Linked DNA regions of Mus musculus: region 1 is reported to be linked to region 2. The links are microRNA targets in miRTarBase. Many come from high-throughput screens and were not tested one by one. Region 2 holds a microRNA gene; the other region holds the end of a gene's coding sequence.

What was found. Region 2 holds the annotated microRNA mmu-miR-19b-3p (UGUGCAAAUCCAUGCAAAACUGA, at 2,139-2,161, shown strand). A microRNA usually pairs through its seed, bases 2 to 8, with sites in the 3' UTR of a target mRNA and lowers its output. Matches are read on the target gene's strand: a 7mer-m8 pairs with bases 2 to 8, a 7mer-A1 pairs with bases 2 to 7 and ends in A, and an 8mer does both.
Region 1: the mRNA of Zfp41 is a reported target of mmu-miR-19b-3p. The part of its 3' UTR that is shown has no 7-base or 8-base seed match.

What each region holds. Positions count from the first base shown.
Region 1 is chr15:75,618,335-75,622,585 of GRCm38, reverse strand. Zfp41 (zinc finger protein 41) reads right to left here. Exons shown (of 3, transcript NM_001044718.2): 2 at 2,895-4,251. The coding sequence ends at 3,789. Among named protein-coding and RNA genes, the nearest start is that of Zfp41, 3.8 kb to the right of the region's middle.
Region 2 is chrX:52,739,901-52,744,151 of GRCm38, reverse strand. Mir19b-2 (microRNA 19b-2) reads left to right here and starts at 2,086; the gene lies at 2,086-2,169. Mir363 (microRNA 363) reads left to right here and starts at 2,385; the gene lies at 2,385-2,459. It overlaps Mir92-2 (microRNA 92-2), which reads left to right and starts at 2,224; the gene lies at 2,224-2,314. Mir20b (microRNA 20b) reads left to right here and starts at 1,960; the gene lies at 1,960-2,039. It also overlaps Mir18b, Mir106a and Kis2.

The DNA of each region.
Region 1 (4,251 bases), not on the chromosome of region 2:
TCACTGAATTCTAGTTGATTCTTCGGAGTTGGGCACCATCATCCCCACTGTACATTGAGACACAAGGTTCAGCAGTACACCCAACATGGCCAGATCCAGGCAAGGAGAAAGCTGCAGCTGACAGACTCATCTCATGTTCTCGCCACCTCCTTTCTCCTCATGGGTCAAGACATTGGCTTTAACCATGGTTCTCTGGCTATGTGTGGTGCTGTGGGCCTTTAATCCCATAGCCTAGGAAGCAGAGGCAGGTGGGTCTTGGTGAGTGGAGGCCAACCTGGTCTACTCAAAAGCAAACAAAACAAAACAAACCAATCCAAACCAAACCAAACCAAATGCAAGTAACTTGATTCTTCTTCTCAAAGAACCCTGGGCTGGGGTATAGCTGAGTGGCAGAGCAACAGCCCAGCACTCACAAAATCCTGGTTCCATCTCCAAGACCACAAAAGCCAAAAAGTGACTGTGAACGAACCTGTGTGTGTGTGGGTGGGTGGGGAGAGGGGGTGGATAACTCAACCATGCTACCCAGACACTGCCACAGTGTCTCTCAGGGCCAACCTGGGGCTATCTGATTGAACGGCACTGTCCGAGCCTGTCCCATACATCCTGAATGTAGAGAAGACATCAAAGAATAGATTATTTGCAATTTAATCCAGAAAGGGTCATGTGGCTCAGTTAGGAAGTGGCTGAGCTGGGATCAGCTATGTTTCTCTTTAAGTTAAGGGCTCTTTATGCAGCCATGCAAAGTGACAAGAGTTATCAGAGCACTGCACAAATCGAATCAAATCAGACAATGCAGGCAGCCTTGGGTTGTGTTTGACTAATCTCCATTGTTGTAAAGTCTGTGTCCACATTGTCACTCTTCTGGAACATCAAACTGCTGCAGTCTAGTTCTGGCACCCAGGGCTCCAGATGTCCTTAAGCCAGCTTTCTGACCAACAGCTAGCTCTAGCTCTGAAGGAAGGGCTAGGCTTACAGAGGGCTTGGCACACCAAGCCTGCAAGCTCTCTGTGGCTCCAACTCTCTTACATCCTCATGAAGAATAGGGGTCAGAATCACGTGTGGTGGTGCATGCCTATAAAGCCCAGTACTCTAGAAGCTCAAGCAGAGAATCATGGAGAGTTTAAGGCCGTCAGTCTAGGCTACACAGTTAGTTCTCAGCAGCCTGAGCTACACATCAAGACCCTGTCTTAAACAAAGTAAAAATGAGAACCTGAGGGAGCACTTTGCCCTATTTTAGCCATTTTGATAGTTTACGCCTATGACTCCAGGCTTAGGCAGGACTGTGAGTGAGGCCAATTCAGGCTACACAGTGAGATCCAAGACAACCTGGGCTAGAGTGAGACCCCCATCTCAACAAAATAAAACAATAAAACAAATGGGCTGGCAAACAAGTCATGGCAGCACCTCTTTCTGCCAAATTTGGTTAGGACACGGCCACACCCATTCATTCTGTGCCCTCTGTAAGGACTGTGCAGCATGTGAACAGGTGAGTGGCTGTGTGGCTGCAAAGACAAGAACAAAATTCATGTGGAATGACACTGGGCCACCCTGCGGAGTGGCCCTCTGGGTGTATATGAACACACACACTCTGCCTTTGTGGCCCTCTGGGTGTATTATATGAACACATACTGTCTTTGGTTTCCCCTCAATACTGAGGGAACTGAAATCCTGTACCCTAAAACCTTAGCACACATCCTTAAGGACAGGGCTACAGGCTGGGAGCAGGATGCTGCCTTGCCACCTGGCAGCATTCCAGGCTTCCAATGTCCCTAGAGTTTGTGGGTAACCCCTCTATTCCAAGACCATGCTGCCCAAGTATGCCATGTAGCTCCTACACCAGCTGATACTCATCTTCTCACAATTTCACCTCATTAGATTTTCATATTAGATTAAGCCTTCCTCTCCCATGGGGATCAAGACTGGTAAAATACTCCCGGGGATGCTTGCATAAGGAGAGTGCAGTGTGGGAAAACCTCGACCTGGAAGGTTCTGCTCCATGAGGAGGGAGGGGCAGTAAAAGCAGCCTGGTCCAACAGCAGCCCCGGCTTGCACTTCCTAACAGTGCATCAGCAAACCTGGCCAGGTCAGTGCCACAGGAGGCACCAGAGACACACAGTGTTGTTTCAGCTTCTAGAAAGAGGACGGCTAACCTTGTCATTGTGGCAACTGTCTGAAAAAGCAACTTAAGGGTTTCTTTGGCTCCTGGTTTGAAGGGATACAGACCATCATTGTGGGGAGTGTGACACGACTGGTCAAATTACTACAGTTGGGAAGCAGAGAGATGAATGTCGGGCTTTTCTTTTTAAACCTCTGTGTATGTCTCTAGTGCTGTCTGCATGGAGGGCAGGGGGGAGGTCAGAGGACAATTCTGAAGCATGGGGGAGGTCAGAGGACAATTCTGAAGAGCTGGGTCTCCATTGCCATCTTTTGCATGGGTTCCAGGACTGAACTCAATTGTCAGGCTTCTGTGAGAAGCAAGTGCCTTTGCCTGCTGAGCTGTCTCCATGGCCCAGCTTTCTCCTTTTGAATTCAGTCTAGGACTCGAGCCTGTGTGATGGCGCTACCGACATTTAGGTAGGTCTTCCCTCTTCCGTTAAATCTCCCTGGCAACACCCTCACAGACACACCTGATGTGTCTCCTAGGTGATTCTAGATCCAGTCAGGTTGACCATGCAGATTACCACACCTGGTCAAACATTCCAACCAGGGAACATAACCACCTGCATCGTTTGGGCAGTGCCCTCTCATGGTTTCTGTACCTGCTGACAAGCCCTTCTCTACTTCTGGCTGAGTCCTCTTTCTGGGACCCTTTCTTCAGGGCAGACGCCCCAAAGACCAAAGCCATTATTCGTTACTTTATGTCCAAATCGCTGCCAACTTTCCCCCCAACTTACCCTCCTGGTCAGCAGTCACTTGCTGTCTTTAGAACACAGACCTCACACAGCATCATCGTGGGGCAGACAGTAGACAGAGTCACGTGGTCTTGCCCTGCTGACCAGCAGGAAGTGGAATTGACCGGAATGGCAGGCTGCTGTGGGGTGGGGCCACAGTTGTTTTTCAAGGTGCAGTGGGCAGAAGCTACTGATGGCACCCTGGAGCTACAAGGCCTAGCCTAAGAAACCTGCCACTATGCCAGGGTGCCAGGGTCTGCTGAGGCTTTGGATGGATCCAGGCTACTTGTCTACGATGTGGCTGGGACAAGAGAAAGCAGTGTAACCCAGCTCTAGGCCCAAGGGTTGAGCTCAAAGACTGTGGTTTCAGCCAGAAGAGTGAAACTCTAGGATCACTGAAGTCAGCTGCACAGAGATGAGCAAGCAGGACTTGGTGCTGTCCTCAGAGTTGGTCAGAATGCTGCCTGTCATCCACCTCAGGGTTCCTCGCCCTAGCAGACAGCATGGGGCTGAGCATACAGAGTCAGAAGTCTTCAAGAGAAGAGACAAAAGCACCGTGGTTGGTGCAGACAGAGGCAGCAAAGGAAGGCAGTGGCCCTTGCCAACAGGGGTGTCTCTTTAGCTCTACAAAGTTCTCAGCGACCCAAAACTGTTCCAAAGATGGCCCTGAGTAACATAAAGTAGTCTGGAAAATGGCTGGAGCTTCAGGAAGCTCCGGGAAGCACCATGTTACTACTAAGTGAAGACTCGAAGGGCAGAAAGCCTCTGTGGGCTCTCATGTCTGATGGGTAGATTTTCCTCTCAATGACAGATGGGTGGCTGGATGAGCATACTGCGTAAGACCTCTGGACCATCATCAGGTGTTTGACAAGGATCCATAGCTGTAGACCGCCCTGCTCAGTGCTTCTTCCTCGGATGACGCTTCCGATGCCGGATGAGGCAGGAGCTGTAGGCGAAGGATTTTCCACACTCCTCACAGCCATAAGGTTTCTCTCCAGTGTGCGTTTTCTGGTGTTTTAGAAGGTTAGAACCACAGTTGAAGGCTTTTCCACACTCCCCACATTTAAAGGGCTTCTCACCGGTGTGAATTCTTTGATGTTTGGTGACATCTGAGCTGTGCCTGAAGGTCTTCCCACACTGGTCACACTTAAAGGGCTTCTCTCCAGTGTGAACTCTCTGGTGGCGAATGTGATCTGTCTTGTGTTTAAAGATCCGTCCACATTCACCACACTCATAGGGCTTCTTCCTCTGAAAAGGGACAAACACGGGGACACCCTCAAAGTCATCTTTAAACGAGGCATCGAAGGCATCAAAGATATGTGCTTCGTCCTCGGGGCTCAGGACAGGTTCTTTTCGGGGT
Region 2 (4,251 bases):
AGGACTCTCCCTTGTTGCTCTGAAGGTTTCTGGAGAACTTGTGGGTGGTCAAATGCCAGGGTGCACGTGGGGTGTGGGGCGGGAGGACTCCCGACCTACCTTGGTTTCCCTCCCACCAACCCGAGAATGGAGGGAGAGGCTTAAGCTTGGCGCGTTTTGGGGGCTTTGAATGGAGAACTCCGTTTCCCATAATGCTTTGTTTCTTTCTGTTTAATTTTGGTGGCCGCTAAGGTGTCTTGAAGACCTAAGCGCGTGGCATGACTGGCTGGAGCACACCCTGCGTTCCCAGGAGGTTCACAGATCTCTACTGGAGCCGCTGCTGAAGATGCGGGAATAGACCAGAGAAAATCCCGAAATGGTAAAAGACTGGGTCCTCTTTGCAATTTTAGAAGTTGTACAGCGACTTTCTAGTATATATGATGGAGAGCAGATGTGTTAAAGAAAGGTATTAGCTAGAAGGAGCTTTCTCTGGAGGGCTGAGGTATGGTTTTGCGAAGTTGAGTCAGGTTTTGTAATATATTTTTAGTGGAGGCAAAAATCTCTAGTTGTAGGAACCCAGTTCAAGAAGAAAAGTATAATAAGCCAATACTTGCACTATAGGAAGCAGATTTCATATTTACTTCAAAAGTTTTGCTAATTTATATTTAAAATGTTTTAAGAACTATCTTAGTCACTAAGTGGCTTCGAAAAGTTCCAACATTTAAAATATCCTTTCTCATTGAACACATTTCAAGTTTTGTGTCCCTGAAGTTTATTGGTGTCCCCCCATCAACACAAACATTCCATCATGGGAGGGAGGGAGCTCGTGACCCCTCAGACTGTCCTCTGCAGCATTTTCCTGGGTAAGATACACACTTGGAAATGAGAGAGGTTTTTCCTGTGGAAGATAATGACATGAAGCCAAAGAGCTAATCTGACTTCTTTAGGTTTAATGGAGAAAATGGGTCCATAAATGTTTAAACAGAAGTAGAGCCCTTTGAAATAGATGAAAATGTGACATCTCTAGGCCATCTGTGCGGTATGTGAAGAGTGTAAAACTGTTTCTTAAAGCGGCTCTGAAATTTCTATCATTTTCTCTTAATGGGCTGGGGGCAGGGATGCTTCATGTAATCAAACATAGAGACCTTCCGAGTGGCTCCCCAAAGCTCTGGATGAGCTCAAGACGTCAGTACTCACCCTAATGTTATTTATTTATTTTTTTGCTTACATCTTTTCCTGGGCTCTTGCCTCTTAGAAAACCATGGTGGATATTACAGCTCTGCAAATTTTCTGGGATGCGAATCTCAAATTTCCTTAGACGGAGAGGGAGTCCAAAATCCTCTTACTCTTAAGAGTCAGACATTCTGAGATTGCCAGTGTTATTCATGTTTAAGTCTGTGTAAATAATTGAGCTTATTAATGTTTGAAGTAACACAACCCCATTTGCACTCTTAACGGAAGGCAAACTTGTTTTAGAAATAGTAACTCACAGTTCACTTACTTGCTGTGTGTGTGTGTGTGTGTTTATCCAGGTGAGTCTGCAGATCTGGCAAAGAAGAGTTCGTGGAAGACTTCAAGGTTACACTCCTGGAGTATGCCTTGGCCATGTCAAAGTGCTAACAGTGCAGGTAGCTTTTTGAGTTCTACTGCAGTGCCAGCACTTCTTACATTACCATGGTGATTTAATCAGAGGCCGCTGAGTCCCCTGGTTTCTGCATAGTTAGATTGTGGATGTTTTTGAGCTGCTCCTTGTAATGTGTCTCTTGTGTTAAGGTGCATCTAGTGCTGTTAGTGAAGCAGCTTACAATCTACTGCCCTAAATGCCCCTTCTCGCACAGGCTACTTCTTACCTTGCATTTGAAAAGCATATCTTGAGAAATGATTTGAACGGCACAAGTTTCAAAGGCTCTTTCAGTGTTTCGCCGAGAAACAGATGGCGGAGACTGTAGTATACAGTTGTGTAGAAGAACAAGCTCGGATCCTAGTAGTGCCAAAGTGCTCATAGTGCAGGTAGTTTTTATACCACTCTACTGCAGTGTGAGCACTTCTAGTACTCCTGGATCAACCAAGGTCTTGTTGAAGCAACTACAGCGCAAGGACATTGCTACTTACGATTAGTTTTGCAGATTTGCAGTTCAGCGTATATGTGAATATATGGCTGTGCAAATCCATGCAAAACTGATTGTGGGAATGTGTACCTTTCTGCATCGTAATGGACACCTTTATGCACATCTTCAGCATCCATGCCCATTCATCCACAGGTGGGGATTGGTGGCATTACTTGTGTTAGATATAAAGTATTGCACTTGTCCCGGCCTGAGGAAGAAAGAGGGTTTTTAATCGTCTTTTAGTTTCTGAGTATTGTAAGTTATGTTAGACTGTAATTATGAAATGAACTGTTTTGCTGTTATCAGGTGGAACACGATGCAATTTTGGTTGGTGTAATAGGAGGAAAATTGCACGGTATCCATCTGTAAACCGCAGGACCTATGTGGACAGCCGTCTATCAGTGCTATAGTAAGATTGTAAAATCCTTTAGCTAGTCATTGCTTTGAACACATTTGGAGTGGATTTTTTTTTTTTTTTTTTGGTTTTTCAAGACAGAGTTTCTCTGTATAGCCCTGGCTGTCCTGGAACTCACTCAGGGTGGCCTCGAACTCAGAAATCTGCCTGCCTCTGCCTCCCAAGTGCTGGGATCAAAGGCGTGCGCCACCACGCCCAGCTTGGAGTCTAATTTTTTAAAACTACATATTTTTAAATATATTTGAAATCCTGACATTTTGATTGCACTGAATGTAAACAAACCTGAAATTTGCAAAATAAAGCTGATATATAAGTCTGAAAAAAAATGGGTTTCTTTTTTCTTTTTTAAAAGATTCTATTTATTTATTTATTTATTTATTTATTATATGACAAGTACACTGTAGCTGTCTCCATAGACACCAGAAGGTGGCATCAGACCCCATTCCAGATGGTTGTGAGCCACCATGTGGTTGCTGGGATTTGAACTCAGTACCGCTGGAAGAGCAGTCAGTGCTCTTAACCACTGAGCCATCTCTCCAGCCTGGGGCTCTCTTTTTTTTCTCTCTTTTTTTTTATTAGGTATTTTCCTCGTTTACATTTCCAATGCTATCCCAAAAGTCCCCCATACCCACCCACCCCCACTCCCCTACCCACCCACTCCCCCTTTTTGGCCCTGGCGTTCCCCTGTACTGGGGCATATAAAGTTTGCAAGTCCAAAGGGCCTCTCTTTCCAGTGATGGCTGACTAGGCCATCTTTTGATACATATGCAGCTAGAGACAAGAGCTCCGGGGTACTGGTTAGTTCATATTGTTGTTCCACCTATAGGGTTGCAGATCCCTTTAGCTCCTTGGGTACTTTCTCTAGCTCCTCCATTGGGGACCCTGTGATCCATCCAATAGCTGACTGTGATCATCCACTTCTGTGTTTGCTAGGCCCCAGCATAGTCTCACAAGAGACAGCTATATCTGGGTCCTTTCAGGAAAATCTTGCTAGTGTATGCAATGGTGTCAGCGTTTGGAAGCTGATTATGGGATGGATCCCTGGATATGGCAATGGCTCTCTTTTTAAATTAGCAATACTATTGGCTTTTCTAAAATAGCGTCTTGGTATGTAGCTCTGGTTAGCTTGGAACTCAATTTGTAAACTAGGCTAGCCTTGAACTTGCGGAGATCTGTGTGTTTCTGCTTCTAGAATGCTGAGATTAAAGGTAGGCACCCCTCCACTCCTAGACTTCCAGCATTTACATACATTTATCTATCTATCTATCTATCTATCTATCTATCTATCTATCTATCTATCTATCTACTTATTTAGTGTGTGTGTCATGTGGTGATTTGAGAACAACTGTAGGGAGCTAGTCATGTGGGTCATGGACATACATCTTAGATTTCTTAGGCCCGATGGCAAGTGCCCTTCCCCCACTGAGCTGAAAACAAATTTTATAGGGTATGTCTTGAAGGAACATTTGAATATAACTGGAATTTAAGTTTGCGTTGAGTCTTTGGTTTTATCACTACTGAAAACCCTGCCAGTCCCATCTCCAGAGAGTGACTGTCATCAGGTGAGCCCTCAGGATTTGCCTTTGTAACCCAGTCTCAGGTGCTGATGGTGCTCGCCCAAAGAACTATAGGTTAAAAAAAAAAAAACGCCCGGTTCTATTTTAAGTTTCAAATTCATAAAGTTGAAAGGACTCAGGCACATTTTTTACCCCACTTTCTCATTCTGTTTCATGTGTTAATGTTAACACT